Linked DNA regions of Oryzias latipes. The protein of the gene in region 6 binds, or shares a complex with, the protein of the main gene of each other region. Links are inferred from orthologs where the notes say so. Each region holds a gene or a part of one and is shown on either strand. Other genes may lie near its edges. The genes, in order: polr3c, polr3d, polr3k, polr3f, crcp and polr3g.

The links.
Region 1: polr3g (region 6) and polr3c share a complex: the UniProt entries of both Homo sapiens proteins name them as parts of the RNA polymerase III complex. The link is inferred for Oryzias latipes from reciprocal best matches to the Homo sapiens genes POLR3G and POLR3C.
Region 2: polr3g (region 6) and polr3d share a complex: the UniProt entries of both Homo sapiens proteins name them as parts of the RNA polymerase III complex. The link is inferred for Oryzias latipes from reciprocal best matches to the Homo sapiens genes POLR3G and POLR3D.
Region 3: polr3g (region 6) and polr3k share a complex: the UniProt entries of both Homo sapiens proteins name them as parts of the RNA polymerase III complex. The link is inferred for Oryzias latipes from reciprocal best matches to the Homo sapiens genes POLR3G and POLR3K.
Region 4: polr3g (region 6) and polr3f share a complex: the UniProt entries of both Homo sapiens proteins name them as parts of the RNA polymerase III complex. The link is inferred for Oryzias latipes from reciprocal best matches to the Homo sapiens genes POLR3G and POLR3F.
Region 5: polr3g (region 6) and crcp share a complex: the UniProt entries of both Homo sapiens proteins name them as parts of the RNA polymerase III complex. The link is inferred for Oryzias latipes from reciprocal best matches to the Homo sapiens genes POLR3G and CRCP.

Annotation. Positions count from the first base shown.
Region 1 is NC_019874.2:18,839,779-18,844,694, forward strand, and holds the start of polr3c (DNA-directed RNA polymerase III subunit RPC3), read left to right. Parts: upstream 1-1,781; 5' UTR 1,782-1,900; intron 1,901-2,777; coding exon 2,778-2,924; intron 2,925-3,251; coding exon 3,252-3,516; intron 3,517-3,672; coding exon 3,673-3,962; intron 3,963-4,066; coding exon 4,067-4,171; intron 4,172-4,603; coding exon 4,604-4,777; intron 4,778-4,865; coding exon 4,866-4,916. Other genes in the region: E3 ubiquitin-protein ligase RNF115, read right to left, coding at 1,611-1,688. UniProt on the Homo sapiens protein: DNA-dependent RNA polymerase catalyzes the transcription of DNA into RNA using the four ribonucleoside triphosphates as substrates.
Region 2 is NC_019867.2:17,411,298-17,416,214, reverse strand, and holds the start of polr3d (DNA-directed RNA polymerase III subunit RPC4), read left to right. Parts: upstream 1-1,818; 5' UTR 1,819-1,938; intron 1,939-3,865; 5' UTR 3,866-3,897; coding exon 3,898-4,062; intron 4,063-4,255; coding exon 4,256-4,299; intron 4,300-4,406; coding exon 4,407-4,561; intron 4,562-4,670; coding exon 4,671-4,795; intron 4,796-4,884; coding exon 4,885-4,917. UniProt on the Homo sapiens protein: DNA-dependent RNA polymerase catalyzes the transcription of DNA into RNA using the four ribonucleoside triphosphates as substrates.
Region 3 is NC_019866.2:8,138,072-8,141,880, reverse strand, and holds polr3k (DNA-directed RNA polymerase III subunit RPC10), read right to left. Parts: upstream 1,848-3,809; 5' UTR 1,742-1,847; coding exon 1,631-1,741; intron 1,536-1,630; coding exon 1,448-1,535; intron 912-1,447; coding exon 784-911; 3' UTR 672-783; downstream 1-671. Other genes in the region: snrnp25 (U11/U12 small nuclear ribonucleoprotein 25 kDa protein), read left to right, coding at 2,216-2,428, 3,048-3,138, 3,791-3,809. UniProt on the Homo sapiens protein: Core component of RNA polymerase III (Pol III) which synthesizes small non-coding RNAs using the four ribonucleoside triphosphates as substrates. Can mediate Pol I proofreading of the nascent RNA transcript.
Region 4 is NC_019859.2:414,137-418,871, reverse strand, and holds polr3f (DNA-directed RNA polymerase III subunit RPC6), read left to right. Parts: upstream 1-1,434; 5' UTR 1,435-1,531; coding exon 1,532-1,593; intron 1,594-2,465; coding exon 2,466-2,583; intron 2,584-2,658; coding exon 2,659-2,726; intron 2,727-2,790; coding exon 2,791-2,858; intron 2,859-2,925; coding exon 2,926-3,038; intron 3,039-3,114; coding exon 3,115-3,258; intron 3,259-3,792; coding exon 3,793-3,900; intron 3,901-3,969; coding exon 3,970-4,161; intron 4,162-4,239; coding exon 4,240-4,317; 3' UTR 4,318-4,444; downstream 4,445-4,735. UniProt on the Homo sapiens protein: DNA-dependent RNA polymerase catalyzes the transcription of DNA into RNA using the four ribonucleoside triphosphates as substrates.
Region 5 is NC_019872.2:8,448,702-8,453,526, reverse strand, and holds the start of crcp (DNA-directed RNA polymerase III subunit RPC9), read left to right. Parts: upstream 1-1,697; 5' UTR 1,698-1,773; coding exon 1,774-1,781; intron 1,782-2,894; coding exon 2,895-2,931; intron 2,932-3,029; coding exon 3,030-3,128; intron 3,129-3,201; coding exon 3,202-3,296; intron 3,297-3,426; coding exon 3,427-3,484; intron 3,485-4,825. Other genes in the region: protein FAM111A, read left to right, coding at 1-837. UniProt on the Homo sapiens protein: DNA-dependent RNA polymerase catalyzes the transcription of DNA into RNA using the four ribonucleoside triphosphates as substrates.
Region 6 is NC_019867.2:16,255,605-16,260,472, reverse strand, and holds polr3g (DNA-directed RNA polymerase III subunit RPC7), read left to right. Parts: upstream 1-1,887; 5' UTR 1,888-2,137; intron 2,138-2,267; 5' UTR 2,268-2,288; coding exon 2,289-2,399; intron 2,400-2,704; coding exon 2,705-2,834; intron 2,835-3,378; coding exon 3,379-3,444; intron 3,445-3,521; coding exon 3,522-3,581; intron 3,582-3,659; coding exon 3,660-3,724; intron 3,725-4,362; coding exon 4,363-4,473; intron 4,474-4,553; coding exon 4,554-4,643; 3' UTR 4,644-4,802; downstream 4,803-4,868. Other genes in the region: mblac2 (metallo-beta-lactamase domain-containing protein 2), read right to left, coding at 1,161-1,602. UniProt on the Homo sapiens protein: DNA-dependent RNA polymerase catalyzes the transcription of DNA into RNA using the four ribonucleoside triphosphates as substrates.

The DNA.
Region 1 (4,916 bases), on a different chromosome or scaffold from region 6:
AGGGGAACAGGATTGAGGTCACTTAGCATAAAAACAAAGTTGTAAGCCATTACGGCAACACCTGAAGTACAATACTTGTAGCATTAAAAAGTGGGTCACAACAATAATGTCTTTTTAGATTGTAGTTCACTCGATTTGGAGTGCTAAATATACAAATGAAATTCACAAATGTTCTTAAGGTTGAATTGAAAAAAAAAGTGACTATGAATTACAGAAATTATTTTGGTCAAAGCCTTTGAATTCAGATTTACTCACAAAACTCACACAATTACTTGTAATAAATAAATGTTATGTATTGTTTTGTTGATTTTTATAATTTACTTTATATTTCAGGTTTAAAAAATGTTTGATATTATCTTTGCAGTTGCTTGATCCAACACAGAAAAAGAAAATCACAAAGAGACAAGTGAGTAAATCCAGAATTAGTGACCAATTATCTGAAATTTAAAAATAATGGGGAGGCAATAGTCACAGCTCTGTTTCCAGTTTACTGGTCGATTAAACAAATAGACGTTTGGATGTTTATTTTTACTTTATGGCACAGTAAATCACAGAACCCTCCATCTCTGTATCAGTCTAACAGATTGCTTCTAAGAAGCTAACAGGTTGCACTTTTTAATTTAAACTTTCAGTCAAAATCTAGACACAACATAAAGCAGTGTTTCCTAAAATTCGGGTTATATAACAAAATTCATTTACTCAATACATCAGCCAGTTATAAGCTAAATTTATAAAACATGTAAGAGAACACATTCATGTTAGAAATTCAGATATTTCTGGTATTTATTTTAACCTGTCCAAATTTTTTCTTGTCCAAAATGAAATACTATAATCATTATCATCAACAAAATAACTTATATTTCAATGATTGAAAAATGTGTGTCAATTTTTATTTATTTACCAAGGAACATTTGTTTCAAAAACACAAAACGGAGTCAACAAGAGAAAAAAAACTACAAATAAAAAAACAAACACTTACAGTTAGTTAAATGTTTTTGTAAAAACGTAGGAATGTCCTTTTAAATAAATGGCCTTTTAAAGAATATTTGTAAAATAGTAATAGTAGGCCATTTAAACGCCTCTTCTGCCGACATTGTTACGTTTGACTTTAACACTAAAACTGAAAGTAAACCACAACGTATGACATCTACAGAAAACTTCCCCTGCTTATACTGCCACTGCTGTTAACAGAAACAAAAACTAAATGTGTATATATACTGAAAAGGAAAATCTGAGTGACAGTTTATGAATAAATAAACTCTCAGATTAATTCGGGCTGTTTTGTTCAAAAACATGCATCTATCATTTACCACCAAGCACACAACTTCTACCTTGAAGCACAGAGATTAGCGTAAGTATTTTAAAACAGGCACGAATAACAAGACCTACTATCGTTAGTTTTAAGAGTAGCTTAGTTTCCCCTAAAACGACTAACCGGAGTTTCTTTACTGACTTAACAACAACAAACACTGCTATATGCTAATAGCCTATGGGCTTAGCTGTAGCAAGAAGTAGCCGAAACAAACAGCTACCTGCCGGAAGGCAGACTTGTCAGCCGCGCATAACACTCAACATAAAATGAGCGAATAACCAAAAATAACGCGACTTACCGGGAGTTTGGGATTTACTTCTCCCTTACAACAGTGACAGAAAAACCGATGCGAGGGAACAGCCGCAGCCTCCGCCATCTTCCCGGAGCAGCACAAACACTGACGTCGGTCCTCCACTAGCTGAAGGGAGCTGTCCGCCCCCAGCCCGGCATGCACTGCGGCACTGTTGTCGAATCACAGCAAGCAAAAAACCGGGAGCGGAAGTGTCTGTTTGTTGTCATCGACTAGCCTCATGCGCTAAACTATCTGCACGGAGTCTGCTTTCATTGCGAGATCTGAAATCGAAAAAGGTTTGTGAAAAAAAAAAAATGCCAGGCTTATACCATCAAATATTCAGAGATAATTTAGTAAATTCCCAGCATGCAATTGTAATTTTACTATCCAAAAGCCCAAGGGGGAAAGAACTTGAACAACTGTTGACTTTTCAAATTAGAAGAGATAGTTTACATGCACTGTATGCTATAAGGGAAACTACTTAATGACCGATCTAACTTTTTATTTTTAGATTTTACCTGTTGGAATAAGTGGTGCCTGTTTTAACAAAGTAAAATACTATTATTGTTGTTTGTAGTTCGTAAACTAGATGTATAGAGATAACATAACTAAAAAAAGTGCTGTTTATTGAAAAACTAAACTGAACTAAAATAAAATTGATTTATTGTTTATATTGGTTCATGTTGAACGATCAAATCCGATCCGATTCACTGATCTAAAATCGATCCAGAACATCTTTAGCCAAGAATTCAACCAGTGGGACTCAGAAAATAAATACCTGGATTCTGAACAGTGCAGGGGAAGTTTTCCACATTCCCTGTATTTTTTTGCAACATAATTAAGTGTAAATTAAACATGTTTACAAACAAACAAGTAAAAAAGAATGAATGGACAGTTTTACCTACATTTTGCTGCCATTCGATGTGTTGTCTGTTTTAACGTTATAGTTAGAAAAAAAGCCTACTGTGCCTTAATCCAAATGGTATTTTCCAATATTGATAATAATTGATTTATTTCCTTTTAAAATTAATTCATATTGGTATAGTTTGATTCGATTAACATCTTGCCTCAGATGGATGAATCGATTCATCTTTACAGCCTACTAAAAGCACATGCATTAGTTCTTATTATTAACTTAGTGGTTTTCATTGAACTGTTGGTGTGTTTGTGCAGATGACAGCCCAGGAGGTCCGTCTGTGTGGTCTTCTGCTGCAGGAGCACTTTGGAGAAGTGGTGGAGAAAGTGGGAAGAAATCTGCTCAAAAGTGGAACGCAAAATTTAAGAGCCATTGTTCATGAAACTGGCTTGTCAGTGGATCTGGTAGGTCAACGCAAGACTGAGATTGCATTCGCTGTAGTCAGATGTTCTTTGAAAAATAATCAAAATTATTCATTATTTGAATTATTATTCAAAGCAAACGGTCACATATATTACTATGTCCCTTGCAATATGGCAAAAGTTAGTTCTTTAAAGATATTTGAACAATAAGAGAAACAAAATTATAATGTAATTATTCAGGTAATATATATTCATATTTGAAAACAGTTTTACCTGAAACTGATTGCTTATCAGTTTTTTGTCAATACAATACAGTGATGTCTGGTAATGTTCATGTACTTTAACAGGACTTCTTCTTCTTTCATCAAGGTAAAGAAGTCTCTGTGCGTTCTTGTGCAACATGGAGCCTGTTCGTTTATTCAAGGTCGAAAAGGACCGGGGAGCCCGACGGAATACAAAGCCCACTGCGATCGGGTACTGAGAATTCTGCGCTACCCACGTTACATATACACAGCCAAAACGCTGTACGGCGACACCGGTGAGCTTATCATAGAGGAGCTGCTGCAGAGGGGCCACATGACGATGAGCAACACAGTTAAGACAGTCGCAGACCGTCTAACTCAGAGTATGGACGGTGAGCATCAGAATCAAACAAAAGACTGTCCATAAAAGAGATGATCTGTTTTCTGAAGGTTTTTTTTTCAGTTAAGCTTTGGATTGAGGCCTAAAATATCGCGATCAGTAGATTCATTTTCTAATGAATACTTCCTTTGATGTTTTGTTGATACAGAGGGGTCGAGCATGGATTATGGTGAAGTGTCCGCCACCTTTTCCAAACTGGTAGAGACTCATTTTCTCCAGCGCTGTCCCCCAGCAGCAGGAGCAGGAACGACAGGGAGCAGTCAGACTGCCAATTCGACTTCTGCAGCTCCTGCCAGCAGCACTGCACCCACACCGGAAAGCTTCCCCGACTGCTACAGGGTTCCTCAAGTGACACTCATAGGCCGGAGCAAACGCTCGCTCGCCAGCGAGGAAGGAGAGGACCAAAGAAATGCGAAAAAAGCGAAAATGGACCCAGAGGTCAGAGAGACGTTTGTTAAAGCAAGATGTTCACTGCATATGCTAAGACTTCTATGGTTGTGACTTCTGTTTGTCTTCTCATAACTTGGATCTTTGGTGCTCAGACTCATGGGGATGAGGGGATTTACTGGCAGGTGAACTTTGAACGGTTCCACCAGCATTTCCGGGATCAGACTATCATCAGTGCTGTCGCCAACAAACTAGATCAGGTGGGAATTCCACAAAACATTTCAAACTAACCATTTTTTTTATTCATTAAAAGAAAAACAGGTTTTGAAAAATAATTGCCTAGAAAAAAAAACCCAAATACATTTCCTCAGTGTATAATTATTTGATGGTTAAAAGTAAAAATGAATAGTATTTGAAAACCCTCTTTGTATGGCTGAAGGAATTTAGCATAAGCATTTGGTTGTTTGATAAGACTATCTGACTTTGAAGTATTGACCTTAAAATCAAAGAAAATTCAAATTTTAAATGAAATAAAGTGATAGTTTTTGGAAGTACTCCTAATAATTCCTCTTTTTTCTTGGATTGTTCTCTGTGCTTTAAATACTACAGCTTTTTACATTTATTTCATTATTAATTATTTATTATTATTATTTATTATTAACTAGCTGTCTTCTCACATCTTTCCTACCCAGACCAGCAGTGAAATAGTGAGAACCATGCTGAGGATGAGTGAGGTGACAACCTCTTCCACTGCCCCGTGCACAAAACCCCTTTCAGCCAATGAGATCTTCAGGTCCCTCCCAGCTACTTACAACATCCCCCGCCATATATTGGACCAGTACCTCACTCTGCTGGTGGATGACCCTGTAGGTCCTCCTCATCTCAAATATCTCTCTGATTTTTGCTTGGCTCCCCACAAAATGCTCAAAAAGTTTCCCACTTTTCCTTCCTAAGATGGAGTTTGTGGGGAAGGCTGGGGAAAGTGGAGGAGGAATGTATATTGTC
Region 2 (4,917 bases), about 1.2 Mb from region 6:
CTTGTTGTTCCAGCCTCAAAGGACAACTCAGTGTAGGATTATTTTAAAGATTAAATAAAAGCTCTTTCAGATTTATGGACTAATCGGCTACTGAAAGAATTGATATAAACATGGGAAAGGGTCCAAAGTGAGAGTGTATTCTTTTCAACGACCTATATTACTTGTATTTCAGAAATGGCCATGGTGTGTTGCCATAATTCCACAGACAGTGTGCGGTACTGAAGAGTCTAATTTACTTTCAGTCAGCAGCAGAGAACTGATGCCCTCAGAATGTAATTAAACTGCAATCATCCATCATCAGTCATGGCAATTCCGACTGTTCATGAAATCCTTTCTGCTCTGGAGATGAGTACACACTTTTGTCTTTGAAGAGACCCATTGAAAAGGATACATTGACTCCTTCTGCTTGGCAAATTTTTCATTTTGTGTATATAGAACATAAAAAAACATACATTTTTCTTGCCAAGTTATTCTTAAAAGAAAAAAAATCGTCATTAAACTTGGAGTTTCAAACATCATCTAAACTCTATATCTTGAATTCCCCTTTAATATTTTCTCACACTAAACCATACTCTAATGACATGCAGCTCATAAAAAGGTAACCTAAACTTTCCCTGTTTGATCAAATTGATTTATTTAACTGCATCTATTTATATTTTTCACATATTAAAAACAAATATTTTCTTTGCACTCTGAAGGCCTATTGGATGTTTCCTTTAACAGATTATTTGTATTATTACTATATCACACAGTAGGAACATTCATTACTTATATCACAAACTCTATTTTAATTCCTTAAAAATGTAAAGATGTGAGTTTCCATTTAGAGTTTATATTAGATTTAATCTGTTTAACTGCATGGAAATATTTAATCTTACTGTTTTATTTAACTGCATGCAGTTGTTTGCATAAGGTAGCAAATGGATAGTTCAGTTGGCTCTGTGTAGGACTGGATCATGGGAAACCAGGATCCGCTTCCCAGGGGCCACAATGAACTTGATGCAGTGTGGGCCCTTAGGCAAGACCCTTTGTTGTACTGCGTAACTATGCAGCCACAAGGGGGCCCAAGTCTAGGTTCCCCTGTGCCGGTCCCCAGCTAGGATAAAATACAGGGTTGTGTCAGGAAGATCATCTGGCGCAAAAATCTCTGCAAAGCTACCTGTGAGAATCAGGGAAAGCTGATTCGCTGTCGAGACCCCAGAAGGAATATGCTGAAAGGCGAGAAATATAAAAGCGTGAATGTTGCATAAGACTATTTTGCTGTAAGACAGAAAATAACCAAGGAAACAAGTGCCCAAACAAATGAAATATTTATTATTATTATTATTATTATTATTATTATTATTATTATTATTATTATTATTATTATTATTATTATTATTATTATTATTATTGTTAGTAGTAGTAGTAATATAATCAGTTCCCTTAGCATGTCAGAGGAAAATAACATCTTTAGAAAAAAAAAATTTCCAATCTCGAAATATGCCATATCTTTTGGTTCTTCACATCTGAGACATTTATTTCAAAACATTCAATAACATTAATCCATGCAAAAGATTTTTATGAATCTGACAAAACTTGCAGGAAAACTAATGCACGATATGTCAGAACTCAAAATATAATTTTCATTTAGCTGTTTTAGGAAACATTTGGAAAGACTAGTATAATCGTTTATCTAATCTTATCTTTTTTATGACAGTGAATTTTTTTGGACTGTGGATTCTGAAATAAAACATAAAAATAAAACAAAATAATGTTTCTAAGCATGCGCGTTTTTCTGCGCATGTTTGATCCTCGAGAGCAAGTTGAAGCCAAAGCGGAAGTGTCATGGCGCCGCTAGTGAATGCAGCGGTGGACGAGGCAACAGGATTTTGTTTCTGATATCTGGCAGGTTTTAGGGGGGAAAACTCCGAATAAGGACCACCGAGGACGTGTCGTGTAAGTTTTTGGAGAACTGCAATATGTTAAGACTTCCTCTGGACAGCTTTCGCGTTGTTTGTGATCTATCTTACTAGCCACGTGTTTCTGTAACATTTTTCTTCATTCATCGTATGTAAATACTGGTTGTGTATTTAAATCACTGACAAATATCATTGTAAACACAATTTATTCTCAATGCTTAGACTCGAAAGTTTAAGAAATCATTCCTAATTAATGTCTTGAATTGCTTACGTTCAGAACCACAACAGAGTAAAAAAGATAAAAAGAAAAAGGTTACAGAACGGACTGAAAGTATATTTTTGTTTATCCCGGTATTATTACAAATTACATTAATGTAAACCTCAATAACATTAATTTTAGGTATGGGGTCTAATGATTAATTAATAAAGTGACACATCAAAACAGATTTTGTGGCTGAAACAAGTTGATAATGGATTCAAATCGAACTGTACCATTATAAAATCCTTTCAAAATTATATTAAATTGATAATCGATCTTGGAAAGTACCATTCAGATACATGCTTGGTTTTTTAACTATAGCGTAAAAACGACGTGATGGTGATGTTAGCAAAGAAATGTCAAAGCATCATTCCATTGCAATGTGTGGAAAAACAATTAATTTAGAAAAGACATGTGACCATAATCACAATAGTGTTCAGAAAAACAGCAGAAATCATTGATCGATTTTCTGGTCTTGTTACAAACTAACCAACCTCCAGCTGGCACAGAAACATGCCCTCTTGACTGTGAAGGAATTGAGCGTCCCCGCACAACAAATCAAACATACCCTGTAAGACGCGCATGCTCAATGTGTTTGTTTAGGGAAATAACAGAATTCTTTTTTTTAATTGGACAATTGCAACATACAGAACAAGAGAATGCAACAATTATGCACATATAATGTACAGTAGAATAAACGTGTTACAACATTAAGAAAATTTTAATTATTAGAAGCAATCACAAAAGGCAATAACAAATAAAAATAAATAAATAAAATAAAACTAAACAAAGAAAAAAATAAAATAAAGTTAAAAAAAAATAATAATAAAAAGAGAAAATACGAGAGTAAACTTATATCAGTAGTCCAAAAAATTTACAAATTTCAATTGTTTTTTGAGCTTTTGTATTTTTTGAAGATGAAATTAAGTTTAAATATTGCTGCAGTTCAAGTGACAGAATTTGTGGACATGAAGGGAGGGACACGCAAATCCCCTTTTGTAGCGATGATAAGACACTAAAAATCTTTTCTTTATCTTTTTGCTAATTTTAGTGTCACGTGCTGTTGAGCATTGCTAATTTTCTTGCAAAGATGTATTACAAAAACAAGTGCGTTGATCTTATTTTGCGAGATAACAGCTGGTTCTTTTAAATTTTGGCATAGGGGCCAAAAAAACAAAACAAAAGAACTTCTAGCCTGTAGCTTTACTTTGAAATCCAATGATTGGCGACACACGAGGATGAGGGGCCATAAATAAACGTCACAGCTGAGATCACCTGGTCAGAACACAGTACTTTCTCAGGAAGTTGAGGCAGGCCCTCTTCTTTCAGGAACTGCTGGTCAGGTTTTATAAGGCCAACAATGAGGGTTCAGTTCTAGTGCCGCGCTGTCTGAAGGCACAACAGAGGACAGGAAGACCGTGCAGGAAGTAGTAAGAACAGAGGGGAGGGGGATAGGAAGTGCACTACCAGACTGATTGGGAAAGAGTTGTATTTGGAAAGATGCCACACACCCTGGACATTACGTAACTGTTTTAAAGGCACACGCCAACAGAATCCAGAGTAGTGTTTCACCTGGCAGTAAAATGTGTGCAACCTCCTCATAAAGACATTTGAAAACAATTTTTATGTAATATTTGTGTATTTTCCTTTTAAACATCACCATTGTCTGAGAGAGATGATGATGAGTATTATTGTTGGCCACCAGGTTGGGAGTTTGACATCCCTTTAAAGTTCAGGATGGCGGACTCCGGGGAGTCCAGCAGTCAACGCGTTCCCACTCCTGCAGGCGCCAGCAGCAGCAATGTAGGACTCCAGATGGGGCGTCGACCACCAGCTGGACTCTCTCCTGGACGCCTCCCTTCCATGCGGTCAAGGGACCTCACCCTGGGAGGAGTGAAGAAGGTTAGCATCATACCTCACTCGCCATTTAATCTTTGGGTTAGGAATTGTGTTAGATGAGTTAATCACACCAGATATATTAAGAAACCCTTCTGTAGCTTCTTTTGCCCTACTTGCAATCATGATTTTTTTTTTCTAGATTTCAAAAATAAACAGCTTTTCTTATTACTCATTTATCTTTTTTTTAATTTTATAGAAAACCTTCACACCCAACATCATTGGCCGAAAGGTTAAAGAGGAGTAAGTTGATTTTATTTCTAGGATTGAAAAATGCAGTGAAGAACAAATAAAATTCGTGTAAACTGAAGCTTTAACTGTTTTAAAAAAAAAATTTTTGGTTGCAACAGAGCCAAAGTTGAGACTGATCAAAGGAGAGATCGGAGAGGTGGAGAACGTGGTCGAGGGCCGAGAGACAGAGGCAGGGGCCGAGGTCGCCAAGAGATCATCCAGTCCCATTCTATCTTTGAGCAGGGGCCGGCCGAGATGATGATGAAAAGGAGAGGTGGGGGGCCAGCAGGACTAGCATATGCAGTTTGCTGCTGCAGCTGAACTGCCATTTTTAAAGTTTCAAATGATTTATCCCCCCCCCCCCCCCCCCCCCCCCCTCATAGGTGGATATGAAAGCGAAAGAGATGCTCCAAGCATGGGGCCTTCACCCATCATTAACATTAAAAAGGAGAAGAGGGAGACTGAAGAGGAGACGAAGGAAATTCTGCGCAAGCTGGAGCGGGACAATGTACGTCCATCCTTCTCTTAGTTACAACCATCACAGACTTTCACCAAAAGGCATTTCTCTCTTTTTTTTTCTCGTTCCCCTTCTTGCAGTTTATTGATGACCCCTTCCTAAAGAGTGAGCAG
Region 3 (3,809 bases), on a different chromosome or scaffold from region 6:
ATAACTGGAGTTAATCAAAACATATTTGATCAGAGATTTTAGTAGTCTTTGTGTGCCGAGGACATGGTTATGTGGAAACACTACATGCCATCTCTGTGATACTGAGATTGTAGAGATTCCTCACTGATTTGAAAGTAGTAAACCGTATTTAAGCTGGAAAGGGATGCAGCCATCATTGCATTGATCACCTAATCTTGACATTTGTCATCTATGACATAAATAAATGCATGTTAGATGAAGCGATAGCCTTGACTGAGCAGTCTTTTCAGATTAAGCTAAAAAAATATCAAAAATACAGTTTTTATTGGATAAACCACTAACAGTGTAAAAGCACTGTTCCGTCACAGCATGTCCGATTTCATTTTTCACCAACGCTTTGGAGGTGCAGAATTTGTCTGCATGAGCTACACATCCAAATAAGTGATTCTCTTTGGCTGGCTCCTAGATTTGTATTTTTTTTTCTCTTCCTTACCTTAAGGATGATTGAGTTGCTCTAGAAATTGCATTTTGAGCTCAAGGATTGCATAGAAAATAAACGTGTGGGAACCAGTGGTATGCATTGCTCTCAATGTCTGCAACAAGATACAAACATCTAAGACAATTGAATTGACTGATGTACACAGGTATTATTTTATCAATAAAAGCTCTGAAATAAAGAATTTGTCCGTTGATTGATTCTGAAAAGCAAATTTTATTTATAAATAATAATGGGTCCAAAACATTCTTTACATGTGCTTTGATTGCCATTTAAACTAGAAATAATGAGTGAATGAAATAAAATGCTCAATCTCTCCATCTGTTTCCACACTGAGCATTACAGCATTTGTAGAAAGTCGTCATTGGTTCATCGGCTGATCTGGTCTGGATCTGCATGAAGTAGGCTCGAGGATGCTCGCATTTGGGACACGTTTCTGTGAAAAAACACAAGCAAACATGCATATATGTACACACATGTTCAGAATTTTAGTTAGTTCTCGGATTGAACTTCTTTCTGTGGCCCACATTCAGGTTGGTACTCGCCATAGCATCACACAGCAACACTGCCTCTAGCAAAAAGTAGTCCATTTAAGTGTACTACAAGTATACTTAGAGTGAGGCAGTGTACTTGAAGTTCAGTCTATATATAGTAAACATAAAATGTCACAATTTAGTCAGAATAAGTGTTAAGTTAATGTACTCCCTACACGTTACATGGTCAGCAGTATATGTGCAATACTTGCATCCAAGTACACTTAATAAAATAAACTTCAAGTGTACTTGCAGCTAAGGGTGACTATTAACACCCTTTAAACACGCAAATGGACTGTTTCAAATAAACTTTAATTTATTCCTATGGAGAACATATTTGTCTTAGTAGTCAAATTAGTTTTTCTTGGCCTTTGTTTTATATTATTCTCTAGTCTATCCATGTTTTTTTTTAATTCTTGGTAACAAACTTGTTTGTTACCTGCAGTAGAATCCACGTTCTCCCACGCTGCAGCTCCACCCAGCACATCATCCACCTCTTTCAGCTTGGGATATTTTCGGTAGTTTACCTACAAATATTGAAAAGTTTGAGATTAAAAACCACCCTAAGAAATGTCGTGTTTGTTTCTCGAGTCAGAGTCAGACAGTGATAAAAGGAGCGTACCTTTCTCGTGACGTTGTGCACATAGGGACAAGTGTTACAAGCGAATCTCAAGCATTTCTGTCCTTCTTCTACGATTAAAACGTTTCCACAAGTAGGACAAAAAAGAAGCATATTACCAGATTATTTAAAGAAAAACTATCTCGGGAAAGATAGTAGCGACTACGAAATTCATTAGCAAGGAGAAGCAAAGCGGAAGCAGTTGCTCCGGTTTTACAGCTCGGTAGGAAACAAAAAAAAAAAAAACGTTTGTTAAAAATGAAATTGTTATTGTTAAAGAATGTATATAAATGTATAAATATATGTATAACATTATAAATAATATAATTATTTTAAAACCCCACCATCCGCCGCATGAAAAAAAGTTCTTACTTTTGATAAGCGGAACTATTTATCATGTTTTGATGATACCACCGGTATAAGGTCTGCGACACACAGCATTAAAATTCACACCAGTCTTGGGATACATTTTTGTAAACAGTATCCTATTATTATTATTTTAAGAATCTTTTGTACTTAATTGAACGCGTCAAAAAAGAGAAAGCGGTTTCATTTTTACTGAATGTATTTATTTTTAACCAATAATAGATGATGGAGCAGGAAACCGACGAAGGAGAGAATCGTTTGCAGGACAGTCACAGTCACAGTGAGGTGAAAGAGGAGAAGCTGGCTGATGAGACAGCTCCAGATGCCGAGGAGGAAGATGAGGAGTCTCTTCCACATTCAGAGATCCTTGATATCTTCGAAGAGGGACTTGCTCGACTTGTGCAGGACCCTTTACTGTGTGATCTGCCGATCCAGGTCATAGAAAAACACCACACTCCGCACACCAGGCAGATGTTTAAAGAAAATTTTCATAAATTGTAAATTTAACACTAAAGTTGAAACGCGTCCTTCTTCCGGTTTGTCTGACGGCATATTTGCATAGCAGAAAATAGCTGCATATATATTCTTGAAAAGCCAAATCGAATCCAATTTCAAAACAATCTTATAGCTCTAATTTATGTTTTCTCTCCTTTTTCTTCTTGAAACTGTTTATACGATTTAAGAATTATATACGAATAGCAATGAAATAAATGTTCTAATCTAGAATTAAGTACCAAACATGCATAATAAAAATAACAAAAACACAGGTTATAATCCATAACATTAGTATTGTCAGTATTGCTCTTGTAACATTGGACTATTATACAATAATCACATTTGTTTTTTTTTAATCTCATTTATTATTAAGCCCAGAAAGAAATCTGTTATTTACAACTGGTTTATCTTTCGTATTTGCAAATTTGTCTTTGAGAAAACATGAAATGTCTGCAGTTATAAAGGATTAACCAAGTCCATTTGACTGATTTTTTTTTTTTTTACCCTCTACTGTGTTAGAAGGATGAGAATCCACAATCTGCAATATTTTTGTGTTCAGGTGACTTTGGAAGAAGTAAACTCCCAGATTGCATTGGAGTATGGGCAAGCAATGACTGTGAAGGTTGTTAAGGCAGATGGGGAAATCATGCGTAAGTTCCAAAGTCTCCCAGCTGATTTGTATAATTAGTATGTGTCTATATTGTGTTTGTATGACTATGTCTGTGTTCACTGCCTGACTCATCAGACCTCATAACCTTCTTCTATCGCTCTGGAGTCCAATCTAAATGTTCCCTGACAAACGTTTTTTTTCTGGTTGGCCTTAATGGTCAGTGGGTTTTTTTTTAAGGGTGCACAGCTCTTGTGTCCCGCATTATCCCTCCAGTTTTTCATAATGTGTTGGACAGTTCTTAACCCGTTCGCCCTCTCTGCAGTTTCTTTTGATGTTTAATTTACCGCCAGTGATTTGACCCGTCACCAACAAACTAACATCTCTCCCACAGGATGTGTTTATTGACTTGGTGGTTTAAAAAGAGGGAATCAACTCATTGCATCAGTTGGGATTATAAAACCTGTTACCCGTTGACAGACAATCACCCCATCGCCCAAGCAGACAGTCGCCCATGCAATATTTATCCAATGGGAGGCGCGTCCAAATTTGCATATTTAAATCCAACTTTTAATTTTGGACAGACCATGTATATTTGCATGTGGATTTTTCTTAGCTTTCAAATGATTTTAAATATGTTTTGCACATTTTTTTTACTATACACAGTAGTAACATTTTTTTTTTTTCATATTTAGCTATAGTGGTGGTGCAAAA
Region 4 (4,735 bases), on a different chromosome or scaffold from region 6:
ATCCAGATTCATTTATCCAGCATAGGAAAGCAATAAACCCGAACAATTTCAACTTCATCTGGAAAAACAAAATTAATTCCATAAAAAAAGAACAATAATTCAGGATTACAGTGAAGGTGGACTTAAAGCCTCAGACTTTGAAAGTTTGGATGGTATGATTCAAATAAATTGGCTTAAGTCTTTTCTGCAAAATGGGAGAAATATTTGGTTTCATATTCCCTCAAACATCTTTTCTCATCTAGGGGGTATTGAGTTGCTTCTAAAATGTGATTTTGATTACAGAAAACTTCCTATTAAACTTTCTACTCATCATCAGCAGCTGTTACTGTATGGAAACTCCTCTACAAACATAACTGTAGTTCACACAATACTCCATATGGAACTGTTGGGATATTTTATGTAGGAACAAATCAATATTTTACAAACATTGGATTGATGACAGTATTTGGTCATTAATACATATTATGAATGACAATGGAAACATTATCTCATTTGAAACTTTTTCCAGTAAATTTAAATTAAATGATAGAAAATAATATAATAATGTGATCAAAGCCTCAGACTTTGGTCCAAATGTCCTCCAGTCTGGTTCATGATGATCAAGTTCAGCTTCCCTCTCTGTTGTTTGATGGTCGACCGGTTAATTCAAAACTTCCAAACTCATTTATACGATCTTTATTTGTTAGAGCCGTCCTGTTTCCAACATTAGACATAAATCATTCTATGTCACAGCTTTACACAAGAGAGGAAATAAGCAAGTTGAGGTCTCAGTTCATTAAATATCCAATTTTCCCAAAATACAAAGAAATCCATTTTAAAATAATGAATGCAGTCTATCCATGCAAAGAACTGTTACACATACGTTTAGGTTTTCCAGAGAATAACTGTTCTTTTTGTGATATAAATATTGAAACACTTGATCATTTGTTTTTTGAATGTATGTATGTTTACAGTTTTTGGGAGGATTTCTTTTTTTGGTGCTCTTCAAAGTTTCCCTTTCCTATTTCTATTCACTTACAAAAGCACATTATATTATTTGGAGTAGTTTCTGGTGATAATCTATTTGATTTGACATTCAATACCTTATTAATATCTGGGAAATTTTTCATTCACAAGTGCAGATTTGTAAAAACGAAACCATTATTTAATACATTTCTTAAAGAAATCAGTTTATATTTTAAATCTCTGACATTGATGAAAAACAAAAATGCAATAAAACTGTGTGTTTTCATTGAAGATCACATGCTGTATGACAATCCCTAGTGTTGTAAACTATAATTCTATATATTTTGTTTTATTTATTTACTTATTTTCTTTTTCTCTCTTTTTTGTATGTTGTTATTATGTGTATGTTTAAAGTTCAAATAAACAAAATTAAAAAAAAACAAAAAAAAACGTGAACGGACATCACGTGCTCTGATGACGTCACACAGGACCGAGCCTCTCCCGCCGCTGGGGGGCGGTAACGCTCCGGTCTCCGTGGTTCCCCCAGAAGAAGAAGCGGCGTCACCGGCAGCAGCGGACCGGGGAGATGGCGGAGGTTCGGGTAAAGAAAGAGACGAACCTGGCGGAACCTGCAGAGGTGGAGACCAGGTTCGGACCTCACGATTCTGCCGCGTGCCGGTCCATGACCGAAGCGCGTGCATTTCATCTACGAGCAGCTCCTTGGCTTGTTTCATGCGCGCGTGTCTTAAGTTCAGAAACGGTTCTGGTTCCGGAGGCTACTCTAAACCGAACCTCAGCAGGCTTCTAAGACCGAAACCACTTTGTCTGGTTCCAGAGGTTCGAATCGGGAGACCGACTCAGCTCACGCTCAGGTGGTTTTAGAACCGAGTCCAGTTCTGAAGGTTTTAGATCTGAGTAAACCTCCGAAGACTTCAGAACCGAGTGCAGGTCTGAAGACATTAGACTCGAGTCACTCGGGTCTAATGTCTTCATAACTGGACTCGGACTCGAGTCCCGTGAGTTCAGGTCTAAAGACTAAAGGAACCGAGTCCATCCAGGTCTGAAGACTTCAGAACTGAGTCCCGGTATGAAGGTTTTAGATCCGAGTCCAGGTCTGAAGACTTTAGAACCGAGTTCAGTTCTGCAGACTTTAGAACCGAGTCCCGGTATGAAGGTTTTAGATCCGAGTCCTGGTTTGAAGGTCCAGGTCCGAGGACTATCGCTGCAGCTGTTGGATGTTCTGGATGTTGTTCAGAGAACACGCGGATGGGTCAGACGGATTCTAGAGTTCAGGCGGTCTTTGGACCATTTCTGAAGATCCAACGTGACGTTCTGAACGGACCAGAAACACTAGAACCTCCGTCTTGGAGAGGTCCATCTGAAGATGTTCCTTTTTGTTCCAACTGGAGATGAGACCCAAGCTGACACAGGGTTTATTATGGGATGTCTGATCTTTGGAGCGACTGGACCTTGTGGTTCTGATCCAGGAACTTCAGCTCTGAACGCCTGTGTGTCTCCAGGATCAGAGAGCTGTGTCAGCAGTTCCCTCAGGGAATCACAGACCAGGTGATCCAGAACGACATGCCTCACCTGGAGCCGCAGCAGAGGGCCCTGGCCATCAACAAGCTGCTGTCCCTGGTTAGTCCGGTTCTGAACAACCCAATCCATTCTTCAGCGCAGAGGGGTTCTAACGTAACCTGGTGTTTGTTCCAGGGCCAGCTGGACTTGCTCAGGAACAGTTCTGGTCTTCTGTACAGATTAAAAGATTCTCAGACAGCCAGGTGAGCAGCGTTCCATCTGCAGGTTCTGGTTCTGTCCACCGTGAACCCCAATCCTCTGTTTCAGTAAGATGAAGGGCTCGGACAACCAGGAGAAGCTGGTTTACCAGATCATCGAGGATGCCGGAAACAAAGGTGAGCTCTGTCTGCCTCCTTCCAGAAGGTACCGCGGGTCAGAACCTCCCAGATGTTCTGTTCGCAGGAATCTGGAGCAGAGACATCCGCTTCAAGAGCAACCTCCCTCTGACCGAGATCAACAAGATCCTGAAGAACCTGGAGAGCAAGAAGCTCATCAAAGCCGTCAAATCTGTGGCCGTGAGTTCAGAACCGAGCCGGTCCAGACGTGCTTGTGGCCGCCGGCAGTCCTGAACTCTGCTCGTCTGCCACGCAGGCGTCCAAGAAGAAGGTCTACATGCTGTACAACGTGCAGCCGGACCGCTCCGTCACCGGAGGGGCCTGGTACAGCGACCAGGACTTTGAGTCCGAGTTCGTGGAGGTTCTGAACCAGCAGTGCTTCAAGTTCCTGCAGAGCAAGGTATGGAGAACCCAAATGTACGGAACACCAAACCAATGGGTCACAAAGGTCAGAGGTCAGCTGTAGAGCTACGTTTACACCGGGAAACGCGTTCAAGGGACCGCTTTGAGTCCAAAGTCTACGGGAACGCGTCTACGCTTCCGCCTCCAAACTCTACAAAAAGCGCCGCCATTGAACGTGAAACCAGTTGAACTTTGACCAATCAGGGACTCTGAGTTGGTTGCGACGTATGATGGCGTCAAAGCAGAAGTACCAACGACTGAAACTTGATCAGAAAGGACAAAGTAATAACTGCGGTTTGTGTCGACGCCAAGTCTATGATGGATCAGAATCGAGCTGTGAACAAAAGACTCACCAGATTTGGACGTTTCCCACCGAGTCGTCCAACCGCAGGAGACGGCGCCGGGTAGCCACAGTCCAGAATGAACGCCGTAGGCGAGCAAAGGTTCTGTGGTCTTCAACGCGCATCACGTGTGTGAACGTAGCACCAGGCTGAGGGGCCCACCCCTCACCCCCACTCACCCCTGTGTGCAGGCGGAGGCGGCGCGGGGCGGCCAGCAGAGCCCCATGGTTCAGAGGAACAGCTCCTTCGCCACGTCTCACGAAGTCTGGAAGTACATCAGCGAGTTGGGCATCAGCAAGGTGGCCCCGCCGTGACCTCACAGCCCCTCCCAACAGCTGCAGCTGTTCTCACAGGTGTCCCGTGTGCAGGTGGACCTGTCCATGGACGACATCGAGACCATCCTGAACACGCTGATCTACGACGGGAAGGTGGAGATGACCGTGATCGCCGCCAAGGAGGGGACGGTGGGCAGCGTGGACGGACAGATGAAGCTGTACCGCGGCGTGAACGCCGTGCTGCCGCCGGCGGGCCTGGTGAAGACGCCCTGCGGCCTGTGCCCGGTAAGCCGCGCTCCGACGCCCCCTGCTGCCGCTCCGGCTGCGGCACTCACCCCCCCCCCCCCCCCAATCTCTCTGCAGGTGTTTGACGACTGTCACGAAGGGGGGGAGATCTCGCCATCCACCTGCATCTACATGACAGAGTGGCTGGAGTTCTGACTCCGCCCATGGAACCCCGCCCCTTTCCTCCATGGAGCCACGCCCCTTTCCTCCATGGAACCCCGCCCCTTTCCTTTGGTTACGTCTGATTTAAGTTAATAAAGTTTTACTGTTGTGTGAAAAGCGACTCATGAATTCTGACTGAAGTGATTTTGAAGAAAGATCTTTTTTCAGATTTCCCATCAAGAGCGGCCAAAGGCCCCGCCCACAAGCTGTGTAACGTCATCCATGCTCGTTATAAACAGGAAATGGAAAAGATCCTTAAAACCAAGGGTCCCCAAACGATGGCCCGCCCCCCCATTAGACCCGGCCCCCTGAACGATACCAGAGAGAACCAGTTTATTATTATTGAAGCGTAGAAAACAGAATCAATAAAACTTGGAACAGAAAATGACAATAAGGGAAAGAATGCAGGATT
Region 5 (4,825 bases), on a different chromosome or scaffold from region 6:
TCAGTCTGTCAAGTGAGAATAAATGGGGGGGCGGTAGGAAGTGGCTTTCTTTGGTTTAGAAGCTTTGTTTTAACAAACGGCCATGTCATAAAAGACATTTACAACTCAAACTGTGGCCAGCTTCAGGAAAAGGTTTCTGTTCATTTCTCATATGAAAGTCTGGACCAAGCCGATGTGGGGTTGGAAGTGAAAGATGTGGTTTGTTTTGAATACAAGCCTGAAATACGGGACTGGGCTTTGTTGAGGCTAGACTCCGATCAGACACTGCCTCCTGGTCTTTTAGAGCACTTTGGTTTCCTTCCACATGGTGGTGGAATCAGCATTATCGGGCATCCTCAGGGAGGTGTGAAAAAGATCGACCCCTGTTTGATTGTTCCACACAGCCAGGTTGTTGATAGGGTTCCCCTGATAACCAAGTATTTCTTTGCTGATAAACTTTTGAAATACGAATCTAGTTTTTTCGAAGGCTCCTCTGGCTCTCCTGTTTTTGACAACCACTGCAATGTGGTTGCAATGCATTCAGGAGGATTCACCTACGACAAAGAAGGGATGGAAAGACGGGCTGTTGTTGAATATGCCCAACCTCTGCATTTCATTTTGGAAGATTTTATTATCCAAATGGTGGAGGGAAAAAAGTTTGACGTTTTGAGAGAATATCTTGATTGCAGCTACACTCGAGGCACCGCCGTCAAAGACGGTGTCAAAAAAATAGTTGAGAGCAGAAATAACCAACGGTTCAAAGAAGCTGCAAGGAGCTGTGTGGATGACAAAGTTGTACAAACATTCCTTGAGTTTTTCTGCCAAACTGAGGAACCTGTCCCAATGGAGGTTGTTTAGGTCTCATCATCTCATTTTATAGTTATCCTGGGCTTGACTGCAGTAAAACAAAGAAATTCCAGCAGTGAAAAGCAAAAATTAAACGAAAGCTTTAAACTCAGCTTTAATAAAAGTTAAAGCTTTAATTTCTGCACTTATTGTTTACTTTATTGTTGCTCCAAGCAATTCACATGCACCTGTTTAATATAATTATGTGATTTTTCTGTCCCAGAAACATTTTTAACCATCACTCTCCAGTTCAGAGAAAAAATAATGCTGGAAAAAATCTGTTCACTCTTGTATATTTTACTTGTATGGATGTCCAATTCTTACATTTCAGTCTTGACTCATTCCTGTATCAAGTTCTTGAAAAGAAATGCCAACAAAAGGTTTCCTTTTTTTGGTTGTTTTATTATGTTTTGGGATTTATTTGTTTTTTCAAATATAGATTACTCATTACTCAGTGCAGTAGCATAAAATTCATTGTACTTTTTCTGTTTTTGTTTTTAAAAAGCAAAAAGTGTTCAATACTGTGTGCTTCAAATCATGACTAATGAAACTGTATTAAAATCTGATAAAAGTGACTTCTAGTGTATTCCTTTTTTGTTCCCTTACCCTAACAGTAAATGTTAAATGTTTAATATGTTTAAAATAACCCTCGATGTGTTCAGGGTGTACTTCACCTTCTCCCTGATGCTGCTGCATGAGGCTCTGGAAGTCCTTGTTAATTTCATTGAACTGTTTGGTGAAGGGGCTTTCGAATTTACACTTTTTGAGATACTCTTACATTGTTTTTCATTTTCAAACATCTCGGCAGTGTTTCACTTTTTTAAATATTTATTCTGTTTTCTCTGATCCCACGTTCTATGTAAAAATGCGTTTTTTGCTAGGCGGAACCAATATACTCCCCTATTTTCTACACGAACCCCTTTATTGTAACGGAACCTAAGAGTCGACATGGAAGTGTAAGATTTTTTTTTTAAGAACAAAACAACGGCTAATAAGTCTTTTATGTATATTTACATGTACAATTTTAATTGTGATCGATGGTAGTTTCGTGCGTGTTTCAGTTTCGGGTTTATTATGTGATGTTTTGCTTGTTCCGTTGGGATGATGCTGTCGGCCAAAAAATGGAGAGATGATGATCGACACACAAAACAACTGAATTAAAACATATTGAGTCCGGGAGACTTTGATCCATTTTGAAGAGTTTGCAGTCTACAAATGTTTTAAATTGTATTATGTTTGGGGACGAAGTTAGAGACGGGACAAAAGGTCGCGAAATCGTTTATAAACGTAAATTTCAGAAGATGGGAGAAACAAAAAGCACGGGTCGGATTAGTTTGAGTTTGTGTTATCAAATATTTGTTTCAAATCATGAAACATTCCATTTACAAACACATTCTGCGTTGGCTCTTCAATAATAAATGAATTAGTTATGACATGATGAAGCAGCTAAAAAACATTTTGTCATCTAATATAAGCCAACTCAGCCGCACTCCACAACATTTGTCAACTTGTCACTTGAGCTCTGATCTAATTCATATTTGCCTGAAATCACAAACTTAATTTTTCTAAATAACATTGAAGCAAAGAAATATGGGAAACAGGTTTGAATTTAAACAGTATTCTGTCTTGTTTTTCATTAGATTTATTTATATTTATCAAAAGTTTGCTTTTTTTAATTGTATTTCTTTTCTTCTTCAAACTTGAAAAACAAAAACATTTGCTAATATCTATTTCAGTAAGTTTCAACGGCTTTAAAATAATCTAATTGATGGGTTTCTAGTTTTTAAAAAGGGAAAACACAAAAAAAAATTATTGCTGTTCATTAAAGAGAAGATCTGAGGTTCCGATTAAGAAAATTTCGTTATATAAATAAAAATCAAGTAGAGAAATCCAGCCGTTCTTTTAGTAACACAAGGATGTGAAGATCAAATCACAGAAGAAAAATGTTTACTAAATATATAAACTACATGGGAAATATTCCAATCTTATAAAGCTTGTTTTGGTAACAGATATTTTAATTATCTCATAATTTAATGTTTAACAATTGTTATTTGGGTTTTTTTACACAGAAAAAATGCAAACGCGGCCATGCTCAGTAACTATGAGGTGAGACTATAAGACTGTCTATTAAGGGTTTTTGTTGATTTTCCTGCCTGGTAATGAAATTAATTATTCAGAAAAGCTAAATAATGTCTTCGTCTCAGGTATTCAAACTTCTCACCGACCTGAAAGAACAGAGGAAAGATGCTGGAAAAAGCAAACATAGCCTCGGGCAACAGGACCTCAACACCATCATGTATGAAGTGGGTACTATTCATACTGTCTGAGCTTTAGTTGTCAAATCCAGTCCATGTTCTCACCTGCATTTGCTTTCAGACTCTAAAGTATTTGTCAAAGACGCCATGCAGCAGACAGAGTCCTGAAATTGTCAGAGAGTTCCTCACCACCATGATGCCTCAGAAGCTGACCAAGTCAGTATCTAAAAGATAATATTTTTCACCCCTCTGGGGCTTCAATTGTAATTTCCGCTTAATAAATGATGTATAGTTTGGGGATAAAAATGTCTCAAAGTTAAAATTTTGCCATCTTTCTCTCTTTAAGGGCAGAAAAACTGCAGCTGTTAAACCAACGGCCTCAGAGTGCAGTGGAAATTCAGCTTGTAAGTATTTTTCATGTCTTTCTAAATGTTTTATCTTTTTTTCCTAAATAATTTACTCATGTATTCCTATGGTAGCTCTGTATAACAAATGAGATCTTTCTCATATTTGTATTTTTGTTAACTCAACCCAAAAAGGCTCAAATCTAACCCAAAACATGCACTTTTTCACATGCATCCATCAGCAACTTCATTTGTTACATGTAGATTGCCCTACAGGTTCTACCACTCTGGTTTTTTCATGCTATTCCTGTCTGCAGGGTTAGTTTGAATGGGCAATTCACAGTAAATCCAGGCTTGAGCCCATTCCTGTAACGCATTAATAATCTATTGAAGCAGCTATTACAAGACAATGTTAACAATACCTTATACAGCAAACCAAAAAGACCCTCATGACCCGTTTAAGCAAAGCCTTATTATTGCTTTAGCTAAGCGTTGAGGTTATGGCTGTGATGGGTTTAGAAATATTTAATCCTTAAAATGGGTACATTGCACTATTTGACTAAAAATCAAGTAGAGAAATCCAGCCGTTCTTTTAGCAAACTGAGTAACACCAGGATGTGGAGTGCAGACTTCTGATGCTGCTTCACTGGGGTGTGGTGTGTCCCGAAAAAATCTTTTTTAGCAACCAATAATTACTCACCTAAAGCCAAGTGTAGAAGGCTCCCTCTATTAAGAAATAATCTGGTTTCATAATGCAACAGCAATTATATATTGTCCTAAATCAGTTATTCTAGAGCAGATTATCTCTTAGAGTACATTTTAAAAAGTGAATTTCCAAAACTATATGGAGCCTCTTAAAGAACTGCACTCCCTGTTTACCATTTGTCTCTCTGCAATCTGTATCCTTTTAAAATAAAAATATTTTTTTCAATACAAAGCAGCTATAAAGCAGTTGTTGCAGTGAACACAAATGAGGCCATTTCCATTAGCATCCACTAACATGCAGTTCTAAAACTCAGCCTGCAGATGTCGCCCTTCTCACTTTTGAGATGCTTTTAACCCTTGTGCTATCTTAGATGACCCCACCCTTACATTGACGTGTTCTCCCTACCATGACAAAGGTGGATAAAGGTGGAAAGATTTCATGTAATCCATGGACACCAGTGAAGATCATAAATCATTGAAGAAAAAAGGTTCAGCGCACTGTCTAGTGGGTCTAGATGACCCAACTCCCAATGTTAAAGTGCCTAGGATAGCACAAGGTAAAGCAGTCCATCTCCCAGTTATCTCAAGGTAGTTAACTGTGTCATTATGTGATGGTGATTCCATGTTATATTTGAAGGAGTACAACTGATCCAGTTAATAACCAGCAAGAAGGCCAGGAATGACGTGGTGCCATCC
Region 6 (4,868 bases):
TTCTAGAATGGTCTAACATTTCTGTAAACATACCATTAAAGCTTGTAGAAAAAAATCCCAGGACAGTTGAAGCTTTTATAGATACAAAGGGTGGGCTGACATTAGAAAAATAAACTCTATGGGTTATAAATGAGATGGAACTTAAGTTCATAAAGGCTAACACACAAAAACAAACAAAAACAGTGGCTCTGACACAGCAGAAGGCTGCGTATTGATTTATGAAATCTTGACCACAGTCCAACAGTTGGAGCTGCTCTGCACAAATGCAGATCTGATGTAAGTGCAGAGTGCTGTGTAAATGTATGCTTTAACCCTTGTGGTATCCTAGGCACTTTGACATTGGGAGTGAGGTCATCTAATCTAGACCCCACTAGACAGCGCGCTGAACCTTTTTTCTTTAATGATTTGTGATCTTCACTGGTTTCCATGGATTACATGAAATCCTCTCCATCTTTATCCACGGTAGGGAGAACACGTCAATGGCCATCTTGACCCCATAGGATAGCACAAGGGTTAGACAGGGCTGTTCATTCCTGATCCTCGAGATCTACCACCCTGACGGTTTTCCAGATCTCCAAGTCCTGCTAGCGGATGATTAGCTCAATCAGATGTCTCCACATTCTGATTGAATGAACACACCTGCTCCAGGTAGTCAGCAGCAAGCAGTGCAGGGAGAGATGGAAAACAGGCAGGGCGATAAATCTCGAGTACCAGGAATGAGGAGCCCTGGTTTAGAAAATGCTTATGTCCAGAATATACTTATTCACAGACAGGATGGTGGGTGATAAATATCCCAGTGCTTTGCTGTGTGTGTGAGAAAAACCTACACACTCATTCCTGAAAGTAACAGAATCTGCCAAAGTCATCAGCATGGTGACTTAAAAATAGATCAGCTTTGCAGGAAGAGAGCCAAGACAATGGTGAGGACCACACAGTATCCCAACCTCACCCATGTGCAAATATTTGAAAGTCTGGTTTCTTGTGTCTGGCTTGTCACTGGGCCATCTGTTAATTTCGTTTTGCAGAAATTTGGTTTGAGAATGAGAAGGATTTTGAAACTCTAATACACTGAATGAAGTTTTTAAGTTGTAGGTTTGACCCCAGATTTAGCCCCCACTAGCACCAAGCACCACATGTGTGCTGACAGATGCCCTGCCTACCCTCTTGCAGTATGTGCGTGGGCTGAACAGCCTTGACTTTGTAGTTCCTTGCTCTCCACCCTGGACTGGGGCGCTCGGCTATCTCCCTGTCGCTCAACCAGGTGACCGTCTCGAAGTTGTCTCCGTTGGCCAGCGCATCGACCTCTGCGCTGTGGACGCCCACCTGTTGGAACTGATGCAGACCCCCCGAGTGGTCGAAGTGGGCGTGAGTGGCGATGGCCAGCAGCGGGTTCTTCCTCTGCGGGTCTTTTCCCAGCAGCCCCTTGGAGTCGATGTAGTCAGGTAAGCTCCTCAGCCCCAGGCCGGTGTCTATCACCACGTCCTGATGCGAACCGCGGAGCAACCAGATGTTGGCCCGGTTGTCCGATTGATAAAACCGCTCCTGGATCCAGAATAGTCCGTCTCCGAGCGACTTGTGGGCGTACCAGTCGGCTGCAGACATCCCAGGACATGCAAATGTCGAGGTAAGCTTCGGAAGGGAGACGCGCCGTCGGCTGAATTAGCACAACAGTGTTAGTAGCCTCGTAGCTAGGAGCAGTGTGGTTTCATTGAAGCTGTAATGATGGTGGCCGCACACACCCTTGTTTGAAAGCAGCCAGCCCATTGGTCGAAGTGAGAAATGACGGTAGATGTGAACGCGGCAGCGATTGGACGAAAATAAGAAACGCCCTATTGGGACGTAAGCAGGGGCGGAGAGGGGAAAGCATCTGCTCACGCTGACTAGTCTATTGGTTACACATGCGTTTCCCAGCCGGTTCCACAAAAAAACCATAGAAAGAAGCGATAGGTTTATTTACTTATCTTTTTCGCCTAAATGTAAGCTAAACCGCTAAGCCACAAACTCGGACCGTTTAGCTTTAACAAATAAATCAAATTCAATAAGATTTCATTGGGAAACACGTGTCATTTATAGTTATAAAACTTTATTTTTTTATCTCACGTCTCCATAAAAGGAGAGTTTTACCAGCAGGCCTCCTGTAAGTATTTATGAAAAAATATATATCAGGGAAAAATTGTCATTTCTCATAGCGGACTCAATGGTGCAATACCGGCAAGCACGTGCTTGTCAATGACGGTGCTTGCCTGAGGATGAACCGTGTGTTGCAGGTCGTGGTCAGGGGCGCAGCCATGGCAGGCAAAGGCCGCGGGGTGGCTGCGTTTACCTTCAACATTGATGCTCTGGGCATTGGCAGAGGCAACATGCCAGAAGCCAGGGTGGGGCCCAGTCCACTGTTTCCAGTAAGTAAATGCCACACAAACACGGAAAGATGGAAGGTTTAATTAGCAAAAATTCAAGTTTTATTTAAGTAAAATAAATTGGCATGTGTCATCAACGTAGGGCTTTTAGTGTACTCTCCCTGTGTAGTCTCAGTACTTTGTAAAATGTGCTCAGAAAGCAAACTATGATGTAATCTATTTTGTGTCAAACACTTGGTTTATGGACACTTTCTGAGAATGACTGCCTGCTTGGATTACACCAATTTTCAGATAAACAAGAAACGTGTCACTGTAATAAATATCTTGCATCATTTGCCCTTATTTAGACTACTGAATTTAAACCGGTTCCACTCAAAGGAGGTGAAGAGGAAGACTACATGCTGGCGTTAAAACAGGAATTAAGAGGAGCAATGCAGAGGCTACCACACAACATTAAAGCTTGCTCCAGCAAAACGGGTAGGGGGGAGAGTGCTGACATATGAGAGATTTCTACGTCAAGATAATTCTGGGCTGCTGGAAGTGGAGATAACTGCTGCTTTTGGGAAATCAGACATTTTATGAGTGTTATACATAAGAGAAATGAGATTCTATAGTTACTGCTTATGCCTCATTATGAAGTTTTCAATTGTTGTTGTTTTTTTAGGGGTCCATCATTACAGATATTTTAAACATCTTTAATTTTCTTTGGTCTATGACATAAACCCAAGAAAAAACTTAAAGGAGTACATTTAATTTAAGTCACCTGTTAAAAAAAAGACAATTTCTAATCCAGGTTCCAGACTTTTGATCATTAGAAAATACTTTTTAAGATTCATTTATGAACAAATAATTTGGTACAATGCATAAATGTCTAAACAATAAATTTATTTTTGCTGTAGCAATGAATTGATTCCAGAGATTAACTTTCATTTGTTTTTTATCTTTTATGTTTAGTAAAAAAATTCTCACTGATCTGATACTTTTTTCAAATGTACTCTGTTGTTCTGTTTACATGAAACAGAGGTGGAGAAATACACTGAAAGATACTTGAAACAAGCCCAGATTAACAGTGAGGAATGGACTCCAGGTAATTGCTTTAGATGGAAATTTTTTTTTCAAAAGGTGTCATGTAAAGTAATGCAAACATCGTGTCACACATTTCAGACTGGAACCTTTTTCCCAAAGAACTGATGCCCCAAAGTAAAAAACGTAGAATTAAGAAAGGTAAATTAAAGTCACATTGCATGCAGGAAATGTTGAATGCGTGTTTTTTATTTATTTAAAAAGTGTTTTTTGCTTCAGGCACCAAGACTAAAACTGTGAAGAAGTTGAAGGAAGATAAAGCCAATGTGCTCAGTAAACTGGATGTAAGCCTATCTTCCTTCTTTAGCTTTTTTAGACTATTTAAATGTTTTTTTTTCTTAATTGAACTTTGTACAAGGATGTCTTTAGGCGCTGTCATTCGGTGCTGAAGTTAGTAGGCACATGCCTTTAAAATAAAAAAATCTAGTTTGGAAACTGCCATAAGGACAGAATAGTTTAAAGCCATGTGAAAAAAGATTATGGTTGTACGAAGTTTTAGCAAGATTTTGCAGAAGTCTACATCTGTGTAAAATATAAGGCACAATTTTACCTGTTTTTTTAATACCAACATTAGACTGAAAAACGCTTATTGTACTGGTGCTTCTGATTTTGAATTGGTAAAAAAAGTAAAAATCGCATGTCCCTTTCTGAAACTGATCAAATTACATCAAGTTTAAAAACAGTTTGACTCTTGAATGATCTTGACAGACCCATCTTTAGTGTCTGATGGGCTTAAATCTATTTAAAAAGGAAACTGTTCAGACTTGAACATTTCTTCCTTAACTGATCGGCTTTAAACACATTGGCCCAAACCATACTGCCAAGCAGAACAAAGAGAACTGCTGTGAAAATGTAGACTTTTTTTTAAATGGGAAGAAAGCCTACCATTTAGTTTGAATCCCACCCCAAAAAATCTGCTCAGGAATTGGCCAAGAAAGATGAAAATCCTGAGAAGTCAGATGAGGAAACTGAGAAGAAAGCAGAGGACGATGAAGAAATCGAAGAGGAAGAACTCGAAGAAGACATAGAAGAGGTTTGGTCCCAGGAATAGTGGAAAATCTGCATTGGTCTTATTTGATGCAACTAATGTTTTATCTGCTTGTTGCTCCTCAGGAAAATGACTACATTGAAAGCTATTTTGACAACGGTGAAGATTTTGCTGCTGAAAGTGACGATAACATGGATGGGGAAGCAACCTACTGAAGCCCATTTTGCATGGCTTTGACAGTTGCATATGAAATGTCTGTTTAGCTAAAGCTCGTAAGCCAAGTAACTTCATGTTTACGCCATGTAATTATTTAATGGATATGTATATATAAGCATAAATATGCAGACTTCAAAAAATAAATTATTCAAAATAGATATTTATTAAGCCTGCAGTATATTTCCAACTTGAAAGGCACACAGTCAACAAAACTGTCACAGGAT